Linked DNA regions of Stegostoma tigrinum. The protein of the gene in region 1 interacts with the protein of each later gene in a pairwise test. Links are inferred from orthologs where the notes say so. Each region holds a gene or a part of one and is shown on either strand. Other genes may lie near its edges.

Region 1 (8,494 bases):
AGTAGGTAGCTGGGGGTGCGGCTTGGGGTGGGAGGAAGGGATGGGTGAGAGGAAGAACCGGTTAGGTAGGCAGAGACAGGTTGGACTGGTTTTGGGATGCAGTGGGTGGGGGGGAAGAGCTGGGCTGGTTGTGTGGTGCAGTGGGGGGAGGGGATGAACTGGGCTGGTTTAGGGATGCAGTGGGGGAAGGGGAGATTTTGAAACTGGTGAAGTCCACATTGATACCATATGGCTGCAGGGTTCCCAGGCGGAATATGAGTTGCTGTTCCTGCAACCTTCGGGTGGCATCATTGTGGCAGTGCAGGAGGCCCATGATGGACATGTCATCAAGAGAATGGGAGGGGGAGTGGAAATGGTTTGCGACTGGGAGGTGCAGTTGTTTGTTGCGAACTGAGCGGAGGTGTTCTGCAAAGCGGTCCCCAAGCCTCCGCTTGGTTTCCCCAATGTAGAGGAAGCCACACCGGGTACAGCGGATGCAGTATACCACATTGGCAGATGTGCAGGTGAACCTCTGCTTAATGTGGAATGTCATCTTGGGGCCTGGGATGGGGGTGAGGGAGGAGGTGTGGGGACAAGTGTAGCATTTCCTGCGGTTGCAGGGGAAGGTGCTGGGTGTGGTGGGGTTGGAGGGCAGTGTGGAGCGAACAAGGGAGTCACGGAGAGAGTGGTCTCTCCGGAAAGCAGACAGGGGTGGGGATGGAAAAATGTCTTGGGTGGTGGGGTCGGATTGTAAATGGCGGAAGTGTCGGAGGATGATGCGTTGTATCCGGAGGTTGGTAGGGTGGTGTGTGAGAACGAGGGGGATCCTCTTGGGGCGGTTGTGGCGGGGGCGGGGTGTGAGGGATGTGTCGCGGGAAATGCGGGAGACGCGGTCAAGGGCGTTCTCAATCACCGTGGGGGGGAAGTTGCGGTCCTTGAAGAACTTGGACATCTGGGATGTGCGGGAGTGGAATGTCTTATCCTGGGAGCAGATGCGGCGGAGGCGGAGGAATTGGGAATAGGGGATGGAATTTTTGCAGGAGGGTGGGTGGGAGGAGGTGTATTCTAGGTAGCTGTGGGAGTCGGTGGGCTTGAAATGGACATCAGTTACAAGCTGGTTGCCTGAGATGGAGACTGAGAGGTCCAGGAAGGTGAGGGATGTGCTGGAGATGGCCCAGGTGAACTGAAGGTTGGGGTGGAAGGTGTTGGTGAAGTGGATGAACTGTTTGAGCTCCTCTGGGGAGCAAGAGGCGGCGCCGATACAGTCATCAATGTACCGGAGGAAGAGGTGGGGTTTGGGGCCTGTGTAGGTGCGGAAGATGGACTGTTCCACGTAACCTACAAAGAGGCAGGCATAGCTGGGGCCCATGCGGGTGCCCATGGCCACCCCCTTAGTCTGTAGGAAGTGGGAGGAGTCAAAAGAGAAGTTGTTGAGTGTGAGGACGAGTTCCGCTAGGCGGATGAGAGTGTCGGTGGAGGGGGCCTGGTCGGGCCTGCGGGACAGGAAGAAGCGGAGGGCCTTGAGGCCATCTCCATGCGGAATGCAGGTGTACAGGGACTGGACGTCCATGGTGAATATGAGGTGTTGGGGGCCAGGGAATTGGAAGTTCTGGAGGAGGTGGAGGGCGTGGGTGGTGTCACGGACATAGGTGGGGAGTTCCTGGACCAAAGGGGAGAAAATGGAGTCCAGATAGGTGGAGATGAGTTCGGTGGGGCAGGAGCAGGCTGAGACGATGGGTCGACCAGGGCAGGCAGGTTTGTGGATTTTGGGAAGGAGATAGAAACGGGCCGTGCGGGGTTGGGGAACAATGAGGTTGGAGGCTGTGGGTGGGAGGTCCCCTGAGGTGATGAGGTCATGAATGGTGTTGGAGATGATGGTTTGGTGCTCGGGTGTGGGGTCATGATCGAGGAGGCGGTAGGAGGTGGTGTCGGAGAGTTGGCGTCTGGCCTCGGCGATGTAGAGGTCAGTACGCCATACTACCACTGCGCCACCCTTGTCTGCGGGTTTGATGGTGAGGTTGGGGTTGGAGCGGAGGGCTGCCCGTTCTGCGGGGGAGAGGTTGGAGTGGGTGAGAGGGGTGGAGAGGTTGAGGCGGTTAATGTCTCGACGGCAGTTGGAGATGAAGAGGTCGAGGGAGGGTAGGAGGCCGCCTGGGAACCCTGCAGCCATATGGTATCAATGTGGACTTCACCAGTTTCAAAATCTCCCCTTCCCCCACTGCATCCCTAAACCAGCCCAGTTCATCCCCTCCCCCCACTGCACCACACAACCAGCCCAGCTCTTCCCCCCCACCCACTGCATCCCAAAACCAGTCCAACCTGTCTCTGCCTACCTAACCGGTTCTTCCTCTCACCCATCCCTTCCTCCCACCCCAAGCCGCACCCCCAGCTACCTACTAACCTCATCCCACCTCCTTGACCTGTCCGTCTTCCCTGGACTGACCTATCCCCTCCCTACCTCCCCACCCACACCTTCTCCACCTATCTTCTTTACTCTCCATCTTCGGTCCGCCTCCCCCTCTCTCCCTATTTATTCCAGTTCCCTCCCCCCATCCCCCTCTCTGATGAAGGGTCTAGGCCCGAAACGTCAGCTTTTGTGCTCCTGAGATGCTGCTTGGCCTGCTGTGTTCATCCAGCCTCACATTTTATTATCTTGGAATCTCCAGCATCTGCAGTTCCCATTATCTCTGATACTACGTTCAAAAAGATTGTTATCTTAAAAGGCCAGCAGGAGGCATTCAAAATCTAATTTATTATGTCAATTTGAAATGAGACTTTCAAGTTTTGTATTCTTTTTTAGGACCTATGTGTAACGACGAAAGGTTTTTTTCGAAGAATAAACTGCACACAACAAATAAGGGCCCAAACCCAAGGGGATTGCAATCTTGCAAAGGCAAAGATACTATGAAAATATTCTATCTTCCTAAGATTAGGATTATTTCAGTGACTTGGAGACAAATAAGGACTGCAGTTGCCAGAAGCCAGAGTTTATAGGTGTAAATCTGAAAAAGCATAGCAGGTCAGAGAGCATCCAAGCAGCAGGTATAACTAAAAGTTTGGCCTGAAATGTTCAATTATCAGTTCCTCGGATGCTGTCTTACCTGCTGTGCTTTTCCAGTCTCACAGCTACAGACCATAGTTATTTCAGTCTTTTCTCCAAGGTTAGAAGATAAACAGGCAAATAGCCAACCTATCTTAATTTATCACCTATTAAATAATCATACATTTTTGCTGCTACTACCGTACAAGAAAAACAATTTATATTTATATAGTGTCCCTAATCCAGTAAAACATCTCAAGACACTTCATAGGAGTGCCAACAAACAAAATTTGACATAGAGCTACCTATCAGGACATGTGACCCAAAGACATTTCATTTTTCGGAACATTTGTAAGGAAGACAGAGGTACGGAGGTTCCAGTGGCCGGGGCCCAGGAAGCTGAAAGCATGACCACCAGTGACAGTAATTAAAATCTGAGTATGCAGAACACGTGAACAGAATTTGAGAAGGTGACAGTGAGAGACAGAGCCAAGGAAGAATTAAAACAAAGACCAGAATTTTAAATTTAAGGTGTTTGGCCTACATTTACTTACAGATAAGCAATGAGTACAGGACTCATACATACGGTCTGGATGCAAGTTAGGAAAAGAGCAACAGTTTTACATGAGTTCAGGTTGGGAAGTGTCAAAGGTGTGAGACTGGCTCAGAGACCTTCTGATTGACAACTTGCCATCAGCTGATGGAAGTCTGAAGTCACATCAATGTGCTATTCGCAACAATGATCTGATGGTCACATTTGTTGAAAGTATTGTTGGGAAAACAGTGCTACAGCTTTCCAAGACTCCAAAAGGTAGAATAGATTCTCAGTCATTATTATTTGGGCTGTCTGAATTTAAGATGATTTAAAGGAAGCTAAATAGAAACATACTCTATCAAATAGAAGGCACACAATGCCAAATTCAACACTGATTTCCCCTTAATTCTCACCAGTATAGTACTGAGATTGTCCATCGAGTCCTAGGACTGAATTATTTCTAATTCCTACAAAAAGTGAGTTAAATTTTTGCTTAATCTTACCCATTAAGATGATAAAATTACAGATGGTCTCCTGCATCTGTAGATAATACAGTGGATGCCAGAATTCTGAAGGATTATCAAACTAAAACATTGACTTTACTTGACCCTCTGCTGCTGCCGGAAGACAGAGTTTTTTCAGCATTTGCAGTTTTAATTTCTGAACTACCATGTCTATGTATGTATAAAGTAGGCTAAACATGGATGTCCACTTGGGCACAGGGAAACAACAAAATAAAACAGAGTTGCAGATGATGGAAATTTGAAATAAGAACAGAAGTTGCTGGAAACACTCAACAAGTCTGGCAGCATCTGTGGAGACAGAAACAGAGTTAATGTTTTGAGTCTGGTATGACTTCTCTTCAGGAGGATTATTCTAATTTGCAGCTCCGTTTCTAACCCCGCTTCTCTGAACCATCCCGACGAAGATCGAGGAAAGTTTGAGAAATAGACATAACAAGATGAAACCCTTCTGGAGAAAAGTCCAGAACCGAAACATCAGCTTTCCGGCTCCTCTGCTGCTTGGCCTGCCGCGTTCATCCAGCTCTACATCTTGTTACCTCAGATTCTCCAGCATCTGCAGTTCCTACTTTCTCTGAACCAAGTTTGAGAAATATCTGCCTCAGCACCCGCTTGACAATAAAACACCCGCCCACCCACGCACGCACGTTAAAAGACCATCGGCCAGAAGCGTGAACATTGCTGTTTGTCTCTACCGGTGCTGCCTTAGTGCTAATGAGAGCTTCCAGCCTCGGCCAGCTAATTTGGTGCACACTCCGCTCCGGTCCCCCGGCCCCGTCCCACCAAGAGGAACTGAAAGCGCGGAGCAGCCGGAACACCACTGCTATTACCTTCCGCTCGGACCGGAAGTGGCGGAAAACAACAACGGCCAACGGCGCGAGTGGTTCGGGATTGTATTTTTTTGTGAAGAAGCGGAGTCGGTCCTGGGGACAGCGAGTAGTGGCTTACTGAGGTGTAAGGGGAGCAGGATGCCGCGGAGAAAGGTGAGCGTTCCTGTAGGCCGCGGCTGAATTACAATCTCACCCTCCATTCCCTGGGTGGCAGGATTTATTGTAATCCTCTCGCCGCCACCATTCTCCATCCTCCTCCTCCCCGGTGACTTGTTTTTCTGCCGGAATCTCAGGGAGAGGGAAGGCTCAAGGTCTGACTCACCCCTTGACGGGCCGGACATGCCATTTTAAGGGAAGGGGAGAGAGGAGACGGGATGGGACGGAGCTTCTCTCGTTTCCTGCCGGCCCCATGGAAAATACGAGAAACCGCTGCTTGGCGCCGGGCCTGCCAAGGTCCCAGTGGCGCGCGCGGACCCGCCCCTCGCTCATTCTATTGGCAGCGACCTCTGTCAATCAAGGCTATGCCGGCGTTCCCGCCATATGATTGGCTGGCGGATAGTCGCCGCCCCGCCCCCGGGTCTGTTGGAGGGTGGAAGCGGTTTGTGCAAAAGCAACAGTGGCAGCTGCTTCTGGGCAGTGGGGGGCTGGGTCAGCCGAAACAAGACAAGGCACCACACCACGCCACCGAACGTAGTTACAGTTCGGTTGACTGACTAGTGATAAGCGATCAGCATTGTCGCACAGTTAGAATTTGTTGTCTGCTACCAACATAACCTAATACAGCGCGCTTTAATCTATTGCTAAATAAGAACCAAAAGAACTGAGGATGCTGTAAATCAGGAACAAAAACAAAGTTGCTGGAAAGGCTAAGCAGGTCTGGCAGCATCTATGAAGGGAAAAAAAAGTTAAAATTCTGAGGAAGACTGACTGGGCCCGAAACGTTAACTTTTTTTTCCTTCTCAGATGCTGCCAGACCAGCTGATCTTTTCCAGCAACTTCTGTTTAGTTTGAACCATTGCTGTCTGTACTGGGACCCAGTAATAAATGACAGTGGTAAAGGAGAAGCCAGTGCTTAGGTTAATTTAATTAATTCAATACAGTAGGTTTTCTTCATATTTCTGATTGCTGTCAGTACTGTATGATTACTGTGAGCCTTTCCCTTGATGCGCCTTCCTTTGACAATTTGGTTCTTCAGTTGTAAAGTGAAAATAAAGAGTGTCTTTCACAGCCTCCGGAGGTTCCCAAATATGTACAGCCGTTGAACTACTTTTGAAATGCAATCACTAAGAAACACCCAAGTGTGAGCTCAGCAAGCCGTCACGAATAGCAGAATAGTTCATTTATTTTCTGCGATGTTGTTTGAGGGATAGTATTGGCCAGGATGCTGGGGATAATCCCTTGTTCTTTGTTAGAGTTGATGGAGCATTTACTGTTGTATCCAAACAACAGCACTTCCTCAGTACTGCAGGTGATTAACGGTGTTGCATTCACGTGTTTGGCATGGATCGTGCTGCTTGATATGTTGCCAATTTGTAATTTATCTAATAGCAGTCTTCGTTGGAGTTAAAATGGTTCTGAAATGACACTAGAATTATCAGGCTGCCACAGTAACTGGTGCAATTCTTGTTAGATAAAAGTGATTCTGTGGGTGTAAGGTTGATTGGCTGGGCCAGCATTTATCGTTCATTCCTAAGTGCAATCGAAAAGGTTAGCTGCCTTCTTGAACCACAGCAGTCCATTTGCTGATGTACTTTGACCCAATGCCACTGAATGAATGGCAAAATTGTTCCAAGACATGGCGGAAGGTAAGTTGGAGGGCAAGTTGCAGATATTGGTGCTCCCAGGTACCTGCTGCCCTTGCACATCTAGATGATAACGATCTTGGGTTTGGAAGGAGCTGTCTATGGAGACCTGGTGAACTTTTGCAGGAGATTCTGTGTAGTGCTGTGCGTCTGTGGTAGAGGGAGTGAATATTTACGGATATGGTGCCAATCAGGTTGGCTTCTAATTCTTGGATGGTGTCAAACATATTGGGTGGTGTTGGATCTGTACTTATCCAGGCAAGCTAAGAGTATTTCAATATACTCCTGACTTGTGCTTTGTAGATGATAAACGGTCTTTGAGGAAACTTAAGTAAGCTATTCGCTGCAAGATCCCTAGCATCTGATCTGCTCTAACAGCCACAATATTTGTGTGACTGGTTCAGTTTTCAGTGAGTGCTTACCCCAGGATGATGCTAGTAGGGAATTCATTGATGGTTAGATTCTGTCAATGAGATGTTCATTTCCTAGCATTAGTTTGACATGAATGCTACTTCTCACTTATCATCCCAAGCCTGGATATCACCCAGATCTTGCTGAATTTGATCTGGAGGTGCCAGTATTTGACCGGGGTGAACAAGGTCAGAAATCAGATGCCACCAGATTATTATCAGGTGAAGGCAACGTTGTAAAACCTTAACCTTGGTCTATAATCTGCTGTCGTTTGATTTCTGAACTTGCTGTATTTGGGCAAGAACTTCTTCAGTGTGTGAGGTATCACGTATATGTTGCTGAACATTATTTAATCTTGAGTAAACATCTGTGTCTGATTTCATATTGGGAGGAAGGTTCTTAACGAAGCAGTTGAAGATGATTGGACCTAGAACACTATGCTAAGAAACTTCAGGCTTCTTGAGCTGTCGAACTGGTGTCCCTAATTCTGGGCCTGAGACCTGGGTATAAGTCCCACTTGCTCTGGAGGTGTGTCATAAGATGTCTGATCAAGTTAATTAAAAAAATCTACCCTGCAAGTCCTGCAATGATGCCCTTGAGCTGAAATGACTGACCTCCAACAATGACAGCTATATTTCTTTTTGGTGACAATGACTCAGACTAGTGGCAAGTTGCCTCTGATTGTCGTTGATATTAGTTTTGATATGGCTCCTTAGTTTAACACACTGTCGGACATGGCCTTGATGTCAAGGGCTGTCACTCTTACCTCACCTCACCTCTGGAACTCATCTCCTTTATCCATGTTTGAGCCAAGACTATAATGAGGTCAGGAGCTGAGTGGCCCCGATGGATCCCAAATGAGCAGGTTGTTGCTAATCGAGTGTTGTTTGTCAGCCCTGCTGCTGACCCCTACCATCACTGCTGATAAGCAACAGCAGACTGATTGGGCAGTAATTAACCAGTTTGCATTTATCCTACTTTTTGTATATAGTTCATACGTGGGCTATTATCAATGTTGGGTAGATACCAGTATTGTTATTCCTACTTTGATAATCTGCACTAGTTTGTCATGTTATTTTTCTTTTGACTACATAAACAGGAAATGATTTGCTCCTAACGTTCCTTGAATATTTGTACTGTTGTCTGATTTCTGACAAATAGCTTTTAAAAAATTTCAAAGCTTGGAGTTTCAGTAGGCTTTTGAGAAGATCCCACATAAACATGCAGTTGAAGTGCATGGACTTAGAGATTGTTTCCTGTCTACCAACCAGTTCTCAATCCATTTAAGTGAACTAAGTAGGAATAAACTGGTCTTTTTCCTAGAGGTGGGCAGTTACAAGTGGGGTAGTGCATGGATCAGTGCTTTGTCCCCAGCT
Region 2 (8,329 bases), on another chromosome or scaffold:
TTTTATCATCTAAAATTCTCGATGGAGCTTCAAGCGGATTTTCTTCTTGGCTTTTGATTCTCAAAATTGTAACATCTATCAAATACCTTAATAATAAAATGTGAGGCTGGATGAACACAGCAGGCCAAGCAGCATCTCAGGAGCACAAAAGCTGACGTTTCGGGCCTAGACCCTTCATCAGAGAGGGGGATGGGGGGAGGGAACTGGAATAAATAGGGAGAGAGGGGGAGGCGGACCGAAGATGGAGAGTAAAGAAGATAGGTGGAGAGGGTGTAGGTGGGGAGGTAGGGAGGGGATAGGTCAGTCCAGGGAAGACGGACAGGTCAAGGAGGTGGGATGAGGTTAGTAGGTAGCTGGGGTGGGAGGAAGGGATGGGTGAGAGGAAGAACCGGTTAGGGAGGCAGAGACAGGTTGGACTGGTTTTGGGATGCAGTGGGTGGGGGGGAAGAGCTGGGCTGGTTGTGTGGTGCAGTGGGGGGAGGGGATGAACTGGGCTGGTTTTGGGATGCAGTGGGGGAAGGGGAGATTTTGAAACTGGTGAAGTCCACATTGATACCATATGGCTGCAGGGTTCCCAGGCGGAATATGAGTTGCTGTTCCTGCAACCTTCGGGTGGCATCATTGTGGCAGTGCAGGAGGCCCATGATGGACATGTCATCAAGAGAATGGGAGGGGGAGTGGAAATGGTTTGCGACTGGGAGGTGCAGTTGTTTGTTGCGAACTGAGCGGAGGTGTTCTGCAAAGCGGTCCCCAAGCCTCCGCTTGGTTTCCCCAATGTAGAGGAAGCCGCACCGGGTACAGTGGATGCAGTATACCACATTGGCAGATGTGCAGGTGAACCTCTGCTTAATGTGGAATGTCATCTTGGGGCCTGGGGTGGGGGTGAGGGAGGAGGTGTGGGGACAAGTGTAGCATTTCCTGCGGTTGCAGGGGAAGGTGCCGGGTGTGGTGGGGTTGGAGGGCAGTGTGGAGCGAACAAGGGAGTCACGGAGAGAGTGGTCTCTCCGGAAAGCAGACAGGGGAGGGGATGGAAAAATGTCTTGGGTGGTGGGGTCGGATTGTAAATGGCGGAAGTGTCGGAGGATAATGCGTTGTATCCGGAGGTTGGTAGGGTGGTGTGTGAGAACGAGGGGGATCCTCTTGGGGCGGTTGTGGCGGGGGCGGGGTGTGAGGGATGTGTCGCGGGAGATGCGGGAGACGCGGTCAAGGGCGTTCTCAATCACCGTGGGGGGAAAGTTGCGGTCCTTAAAGAACTTGGACATCTGGGATGTGCGGGAGTGGAATGTCTTATCGTGGGAGCAGATGCGGCGGAGGCGGAGGAATTGGGAATAGGGGATGGAATTGCATCCACTGCATCCCTAAACCAGCCCAGTTCATCCCCTCCCCCCACTGCACCACACAACCAGCCCAGCTCTTCCCCCCCACCCACTGCATCCCAAAACCAGTCCAACCTGTCTCTGCCTCCCTAACCGGTTCTTCCTCTCACCCATCCCTTCCTCCCACCCCAAGCCGCACCCCCAGCTACCTACTAACCTCATCCCACCTCCTTGACCTGTCCGTCTTCCCTGGACTGACCTATCCCCTCCCTACCTCCCCACCTACACCCTCTCCACCTATCTTCTTTACTCTCCATCTTCGGTCCGCCTCCCCCTCTCTCCCTATTTATTCCAGTTCCCTCCCCCCATCCCCCTCTCTGATGAAGGGTCTAGGCCCGAAACGTCAGCTTTTGTGCTCCTGAGATGCTGCTTGGCCTGCTGTGTTCATCCAGCCTCACATTTTATTATCTTGGAATCTCCAGCATCTGCAGTTCCCATTATCTCTGATACTATCAAATACCTTATGCTATTTAAACAGGATAAAAATGAAAGAATCTTTTATTCTCCTTGCGCTAATACATCAAGCCCTTAAATGCATTTATACTGGCACTGTTGTGTGAAATGCAAAGCTTTACGGTGTCACCTCCAGTCAGAAGTGGTATTATAATTCAGGACAGTGAATAACATTAGAAACCAAACGAAAACCCAACTTTGAACCGGCTGTTAAAGTGAACTCGCGTTTGGATAAAGTCAAACTCCGAAGTTTATTTGCTTGATATGCTACTGTACAGAACTGAACTGCATTTGTGACTATGAACGTATACAAAGAGTTTTTTCTTATGAATAAAATATATTTTTGAAATAAAACAACGTACGACTCCAGGCTGAAGTTAAATGGGGGTCCGTTCATTTGTCAGACCCTCCTGGTCCATCAAATGCATGTGAATATACTCTGGTTCAAGGAAGAATGCCTTTGGTCGGTTTGGGTAGAGTCAAACTCGATGGTGTTTGTTCCTTTAATATGCTACCGTGCAGAACCGAACTGCATTTGTGGCTACGTCTCTCTCTATATCTAATATTTACAAAGATATGACCATGAATACAGTATATTTTGAAATAATAAAAAGGTACGGCTCTGGGTAGGTCGGAGAAATGTCAAAATTTCAACGTTTTGTTTGTTTCTTTTTCATTAAAAGGATTGCACAGAACTGGTTTACAGAATTTGTGTGTATTTATAGGTTATATGAGTAAAATATATTTTTGAAATAAAAGTGAGTCCAGACAGGATTACAAAGGAGATATTGCACTACCTTTTCTCAAAAATAGTAGGTCGAATTCTGGAGATTTTCTTACCATAGGATCGGTAATGGCGAGAAAGCTAAATTTCAAGACTTAATTTAAAAGAAAGCTGGTAGCTAGAACTTTACATTTAAGGAATGATAGCAACGCGCCCAGTGAAATGCAGAGATGAACTCAGAAACACTTCGCAGCATAGCTGGAGTCGCTGTCCTTCTGGATTCCGGTTTGCTTGGAGCAAACCCAAATGTATTTTTTCAAATGTTACACACACGAGCAAATTATACATGCTGTCTTTGCTTGGACAGGACAGCATTTCAATTGCCTGCCGTTAAAATCGGATGAGACACTCGGGAAATTAATAAAGTGGGATGATCATTAAATACAGCACCTGAAAAATTTATTTTAAAAATGAAGGTTTTCGAGGACATGCCTCCCGGCGAGCGGGGGAACAAAACCTCCTCAAATTCTTTTCCGAGGGAGGGACAGACAACGCTTCACCATGGGAACCAAGTCGACTCACTTCAAGTGAGCCAGTGAATAGCTTAACAGTGTTGTAAATATTCGCGTTTAAGACGCCTATGAGAGCCCGGAGAATATGTTTTTAAATCTTACCGCTTTTTTTCCAGCCCCTTGCTCTCACTTCCCTTTATCTTCTTCCCAACCCCCTCTATCGTGCCTCACTGAATACGAACCAGTGATCTTCATGGCTCCATTGTATCTAGTTCGTTACTCAGCCAGGTCGGTATCACAGTGATACTCCGCCGCTTTGTGACAATTTAGCGGACGAGTGTTACCCTTCACCATTCAATCAGACCGAGGTTCTCACCTCTGAACTCCAGCAAGTATAAACTAACCTCGCTTCCAATACAGGAAACTGGGCAGGCTTTGCCAACCTATCGCCCTTAAACTGCCCTTTCCTGATTGCAGCCCCTGCTGGCAGGGAGGAATATCACAAGAAAGTATTACGGTACCAACGGAGGCCATTTGGCCCATTGTCTCTCCGAATTCATTTGGTTTCCCCCTTCTGTCCCGATTACCGAACATTCTTCCTTTACGTTCTGTTTTGAATAGAGCTTTTAAAACTGCCACCACCATACGTCAGGCAGGGTTTTTTTTCACGTCACCTTTGCTTCTTTTGCAAATTGTTTAAATCTGTGCTCTCCCGTTGTTGATACTTTCATCACTTGGAGCACTTACTTCCTATTCATTTTATCCAAGCCCCTCGTGAATATGAACACCTCTTGTTTAAAAGGAATACCTGCCGAATTTCCTGTAATTGTGTTTGCACCTTTGACCTTATAAATCTCTCAAATTTTATTCTCCACGGAAGCAGTCCCAGCTTCTTCAATCTATTGTTATAACAGAAGTTCATCATTCTGGACACCAACCCCTTAAATCATTTTCTGTACTTAAATTAATTAGCAGAAATTGATACAGATTCCAGCTCAGGCTGAACTCTATTAGGAGCGTTCTACTCTTTACTGCATTCTGTTCTATTACCCTGATGTACTTAATGTAAGGTGTGTTTTTGCCTGCTTAGCACACAAAACAACACTTTTCGCTGTATTTTGGTACGTAATGATAATAAATCAGATCAAATCTAACGCCTTACAAAAGTCATAGTTCCTACACTCTATATTCCAATAGGAAATGGTACATTTTACAAACCATGCTCTCAATCTGTCAATGCCTATGCAAACATTCTCGTAAAATGTTAAAATACACGTTTTTTTTCATTCATTCACATGATGAGGGCATTGCTGGCTAGGCTAGCATTTATTGCTCATCTCTAATTGCCCAGAGGGTAGTTGACAGTCAACCACATTGCTGTGGTCTGGAGTCACATGTAGGCAGACCCAGGTAAGGACGGCAGTTTCCTTTCCAAAAGGACATGAGTTAACCAGATGGGTTTTCCCTGTATCTTGCTCAGAATAACACCAACAGTGCAGATTTGATTTATCTACTTGTCTGGTGGAGGTAGACCAATGACATCCCAGTTCACCTCACCCTTTGGAGTGGATGACAATGCTAAAGCATCACTGATTTAAAAAGGTAATGATGAAGGATCTACAATCATTAAGCAAGAACCAGCCTTTGGGTTAGGTAAACATAATTTTTTTATGAATTAAGAGCTGAAGTAAGACATTTTTCCCTGAGACTGCTACACAATTCAATAAGATCACTGATTACTTCATATTCCCACTTTGCCTGGCCAAATTTTTACACTCTTGCTCATCAAGAACCCATGTTAGACCTAAGAATATTCAAAGACTCTGCTTCTACTTCTTTTGAGGAAGAACATTCCAAACATTCCCATACTCTGAATTTTAAAAAAAAACTCTCTTCTCATTCCCTGTCTTAAATGGGTGTCCTTTGAGTTCCAGTATAATAAATTATAACAAAGAACTGTGGATGCTGGCAATCTGAAACAAAAGTAGACGTGGCAGAAGAAACTCAGCAGGTCTGGCAGCATCTGTGGGAGAAAGCAGGATAACATTTTGAGTCTAGTGATTCTTCATCAAATGAAGAAAAATAATATTGTTCTAGATTCTTCCACAAGAAGAAACATCCTTTCTACATCCATCCTGTCAAGATACCTCAGGATTTTGTGTACATCAATCAAGTCACCTCTATCTTTCTAAGGTGCAGTCTTTGCAAGACTCATCTGTCCCACCTTTCCTCATAAAACAACAAACCCATTCCAGACATTAGTCTAGTAAAGCATCTACAAGCTACTTCCAATACACTTACATGCTGCCTTAAATAAGATGACCTGTACTGTACTTGGTACTCAATGTGATCTCACCAGTGCCTGTATAACTGAAGTATAACTTTCCTACTTCTGTATTAAATTCCCATCATAATAAATAAGAATATTGTATTAGTTTTCCTCATTACTTGTTGTACCTATATACTAATCTTTTACAAGTCATGCACTTTGGCAAACAGATATCTCTGTATCTTCAAGATCTGCAACCTCTTACCATTTAGATAATATATTTCTGTTCTAATCTTCCTGCTGAAATGGGCAATTTCAGATTTTCCCAGATTATACTCCATTTGTGAGATCTTTGCCCACTCACTTAAGTGGTCTATATTCATTTGAAACTTCCTTACGTCCTTTTCACAACTTACAGTCTTAACTACCTTTTGTGTGATCAACAAATTTAGTAACTGTGCCTTTGGTTCCTTCAACATTGTCGTACATGATGCATTGGGCTATCTATCACAAGTAAAGTGGGTTTCATTTTTATTTTCATGAATAAACCTTCCGGTTTTAGAGTCATACAGGACAGAAACAGTCCAAATTGTCCATGCTGACTAGGTATCCTAAACTGAACTAGTCCTATTTGCCTGTGTTTGGCCCATATCCCTCTTAACTCTTCCTATTCATGTGCCTATCCAAATGTCTTTTAAATGTTGTAGTTGAACATGTCTCTACCACTTCCTCTGGAAGGTCATTGTACACACACACTGTGTGAAAATATTGTCCCTCCTGTCCCTTTTAACTCTTTCCCCTATCACTTTAAACTCTAGTTTTTGACTCCCCTACCATTGGACAAAGACCTTGTCAACTGATGTTATCAATGCACCTATGCACAATGATTTTATAAACTTCTTTAAGGTCACCCCTACAGCCCCCAATGCTCCAGTGGAAAAATATCCCAGCCTATCAGCTTTTCCTTCTACCTCAAACCCTCCAGTCCCAGCAACATCCTGGTAAGTATTTCCTTCCCCTTTTCCGTCCTTTCCCAGAGGGTTACGGCTCAAGGCTGTGATATACCTTTGCTAATGCTAGTAGCCTTCTGCATTTCAAACAAGTGACTATTTGTCACGCAGGACTGTCTTCATCTGACAGACAGTCAGCACTTTCTGATTAGTGACAGGAACTCCAGCTGATTTCCTTTTCTTCCCCGCCATCTATTAACCCAGTGGTGTTCAACCCAAATTGGATCTTGGACCCTCCTGGACCATAGTGTAGGACCCCAATGCATGCTACATATACCTATGGAATCATGTCATTTGAGGTATACCTGTCTTCTTGTAAAGCATTTTTTAATTAATTTCCTACATGCTCTCCCTCAAAAACATGCTTTCATCCCAGGCTCCAAGCTAACAATAGCTACACGAAGACATTTTGGAAGAGTGACTAATTGGATACATTTAGATAACGTGGAATGTGGACATTGTTGAGTGTGAGCATTTATCAACCACAAGCAAAATATTGAACTGCTTTCAAAATAAAACGTTTAAACTTAAGATAAAAGATTTCCTATTAACTAAATACTTCAAACAAACAATAAGTCTTTCAAAGCACTGAAGATGTGAACAATTATTACAAAGGACAAAACTGCCAAAGTGGGAGTACTGTGCAGTCAGTCAGATTTTTTTTGATGCACACAGATATTGACAATATGCTGTTTCTTTTTCAATTTTCTGCAATCTTTCCCAAAGGTGTTGGATGTATTTATGGTAGCATGGTGGTTCAGCATTATTGCCTCACAACTCCAGGAACTTGGGTTTGATTCCACCCTTGGAAAACTGTTTGTGTGGAGTTTGCACATTCTCCCTATATGTGGGTGGGTTTCCTCCAGATGGTCTGGTTTCCTCCCACAGTCCAAAGACGTGTAGGTTAGATGGATTTGTCCATGCTAAATTGCTCATAGTATCCAGGTTTGTGCAGGCTAGGTGGATTAGCCATGGGAAATGCAGGGTTACAGGGATAGAATAGTAGGGGATTGTCTGGGCAGCTCGCTCTTCGGAGACTTGGTATGGTCTCAATGGGCTGATAGGGATTCTATGATTCTAAGTCTATTTCACAATATAAACTAAAACTAAAGATTAATCAGCCATCTCTATTTAGTGTAAAAGATCCTATGATGCTTTTTCTTAAAAATACAACACAGGAGTTCTTCCTCCTATCCTGGCTAATCTTCAGCCCTCATTTCATTTTGCTGTTTCATTTTGATGTATGCAAGTTGCTTAATTTATTTTTTTATTCCTATCTGAACTTGCACTTTAAGAACACTTTTAGCACCCATAAAGTAATTACATACTGTTGAGTTGTAACTGCTTAGCAACATGGGAACAATCGTTTTAAAATTAAAATGTAAGGCAACTGGCATTTATAATATAAACACACAACTTTACCGGATGATGAGGATATTGGTGTTGAAAGTTCCATAGAGAAATCTGAACACCTAGTGAGTTACTGGAAGAACTACACCAAACGATTTAATGTTTTAAAACAATACAGACTTTACTGTATATATAAAAACAAAGCAAGCATCTTAACACCATAGTTTGTCAAGACTTTTAATCATCAGTTCTTATCCAGTCCCCCTTTTACTGCTTTAATTTCACAATTTTGAGGGTTCATTCACCTCTTCATCTGGAAACAAACCAAGAAAGGCAAAGCTCTCTGGAATTCTCTTTGTCTTCTGCTTAGTGTGCCAGCTAATCTCCAACTTATGAGATGCAATGAGGACCCTTGAGTTTGCTTGTGGTTTGGTGATTGTCCAACATTTCTACAAAAAACCATAACTGGTAACTTCTGAGCTCAACCTTGAACCTCATAGCTTTTGTATTTATCAATTTAAAAATCAGAACATCCTAGTTCCATTTGCCTTTCTGCTCCTGTTGTTTTTTTTGGACAGACAGAAGCTGGTTTAATTAAAACAGAAAGCGTTGGCGTAACTTAGCAGTTCTGATAA

Evidence for each region.
Region 2: the proteins of kat7b (region 1) and ninl interact in a two-hybrid assay, tested with the Homo sapiens proteins (2 studies listed by BioGRID and IntAct). The two-hybrid records come from large-scale screens. The link is inferred for Stegostoma tigrinum from reciprocal best matches to the Homo sapiens genes KAT7 and NINL.

Annotation. Positions count from the first base shown.
Region 1 is NC_081384.1:23,489,916-23,498,409, reverse strand, and holds the start of kat7b (histone acetyltransferase KAT7), read left to right. Parts: upstream 1-4,894; 5' UTR 4,895-5,043; coding exon of another isoform or gene 5,044-5,058; intron 5,059-8,494. UniProt on the Homo sapiens protein: Catalytic subunit of histone acetyltransferase HBO1 complexes, which specifically mediate acetylation of histone H3 at 'Lys-14' (H3K14ac), thereby regulating various processes, such as gene transcription, protein ubiquitination, immune regulation, stem cell pluripotent and self-renewal maintenance and embryonic development.
Region 2 is NC_081362.1:20,262,315-20,270,643, forward strand, and holds the start of ninl (ninein-like protein), read right to left. Parts: upstream 3,507-8,329; 5' UTR 3,228-3,506; intron 1-3,227. UniProt on the Homo sapiens protein: Involved in the microtubule organization in interphase cells. Overexpression induces the fragmentation of the Golgi, and causes lysosomes to disperse toward the cell periphery; it also interferes with mitotic spindle assembly.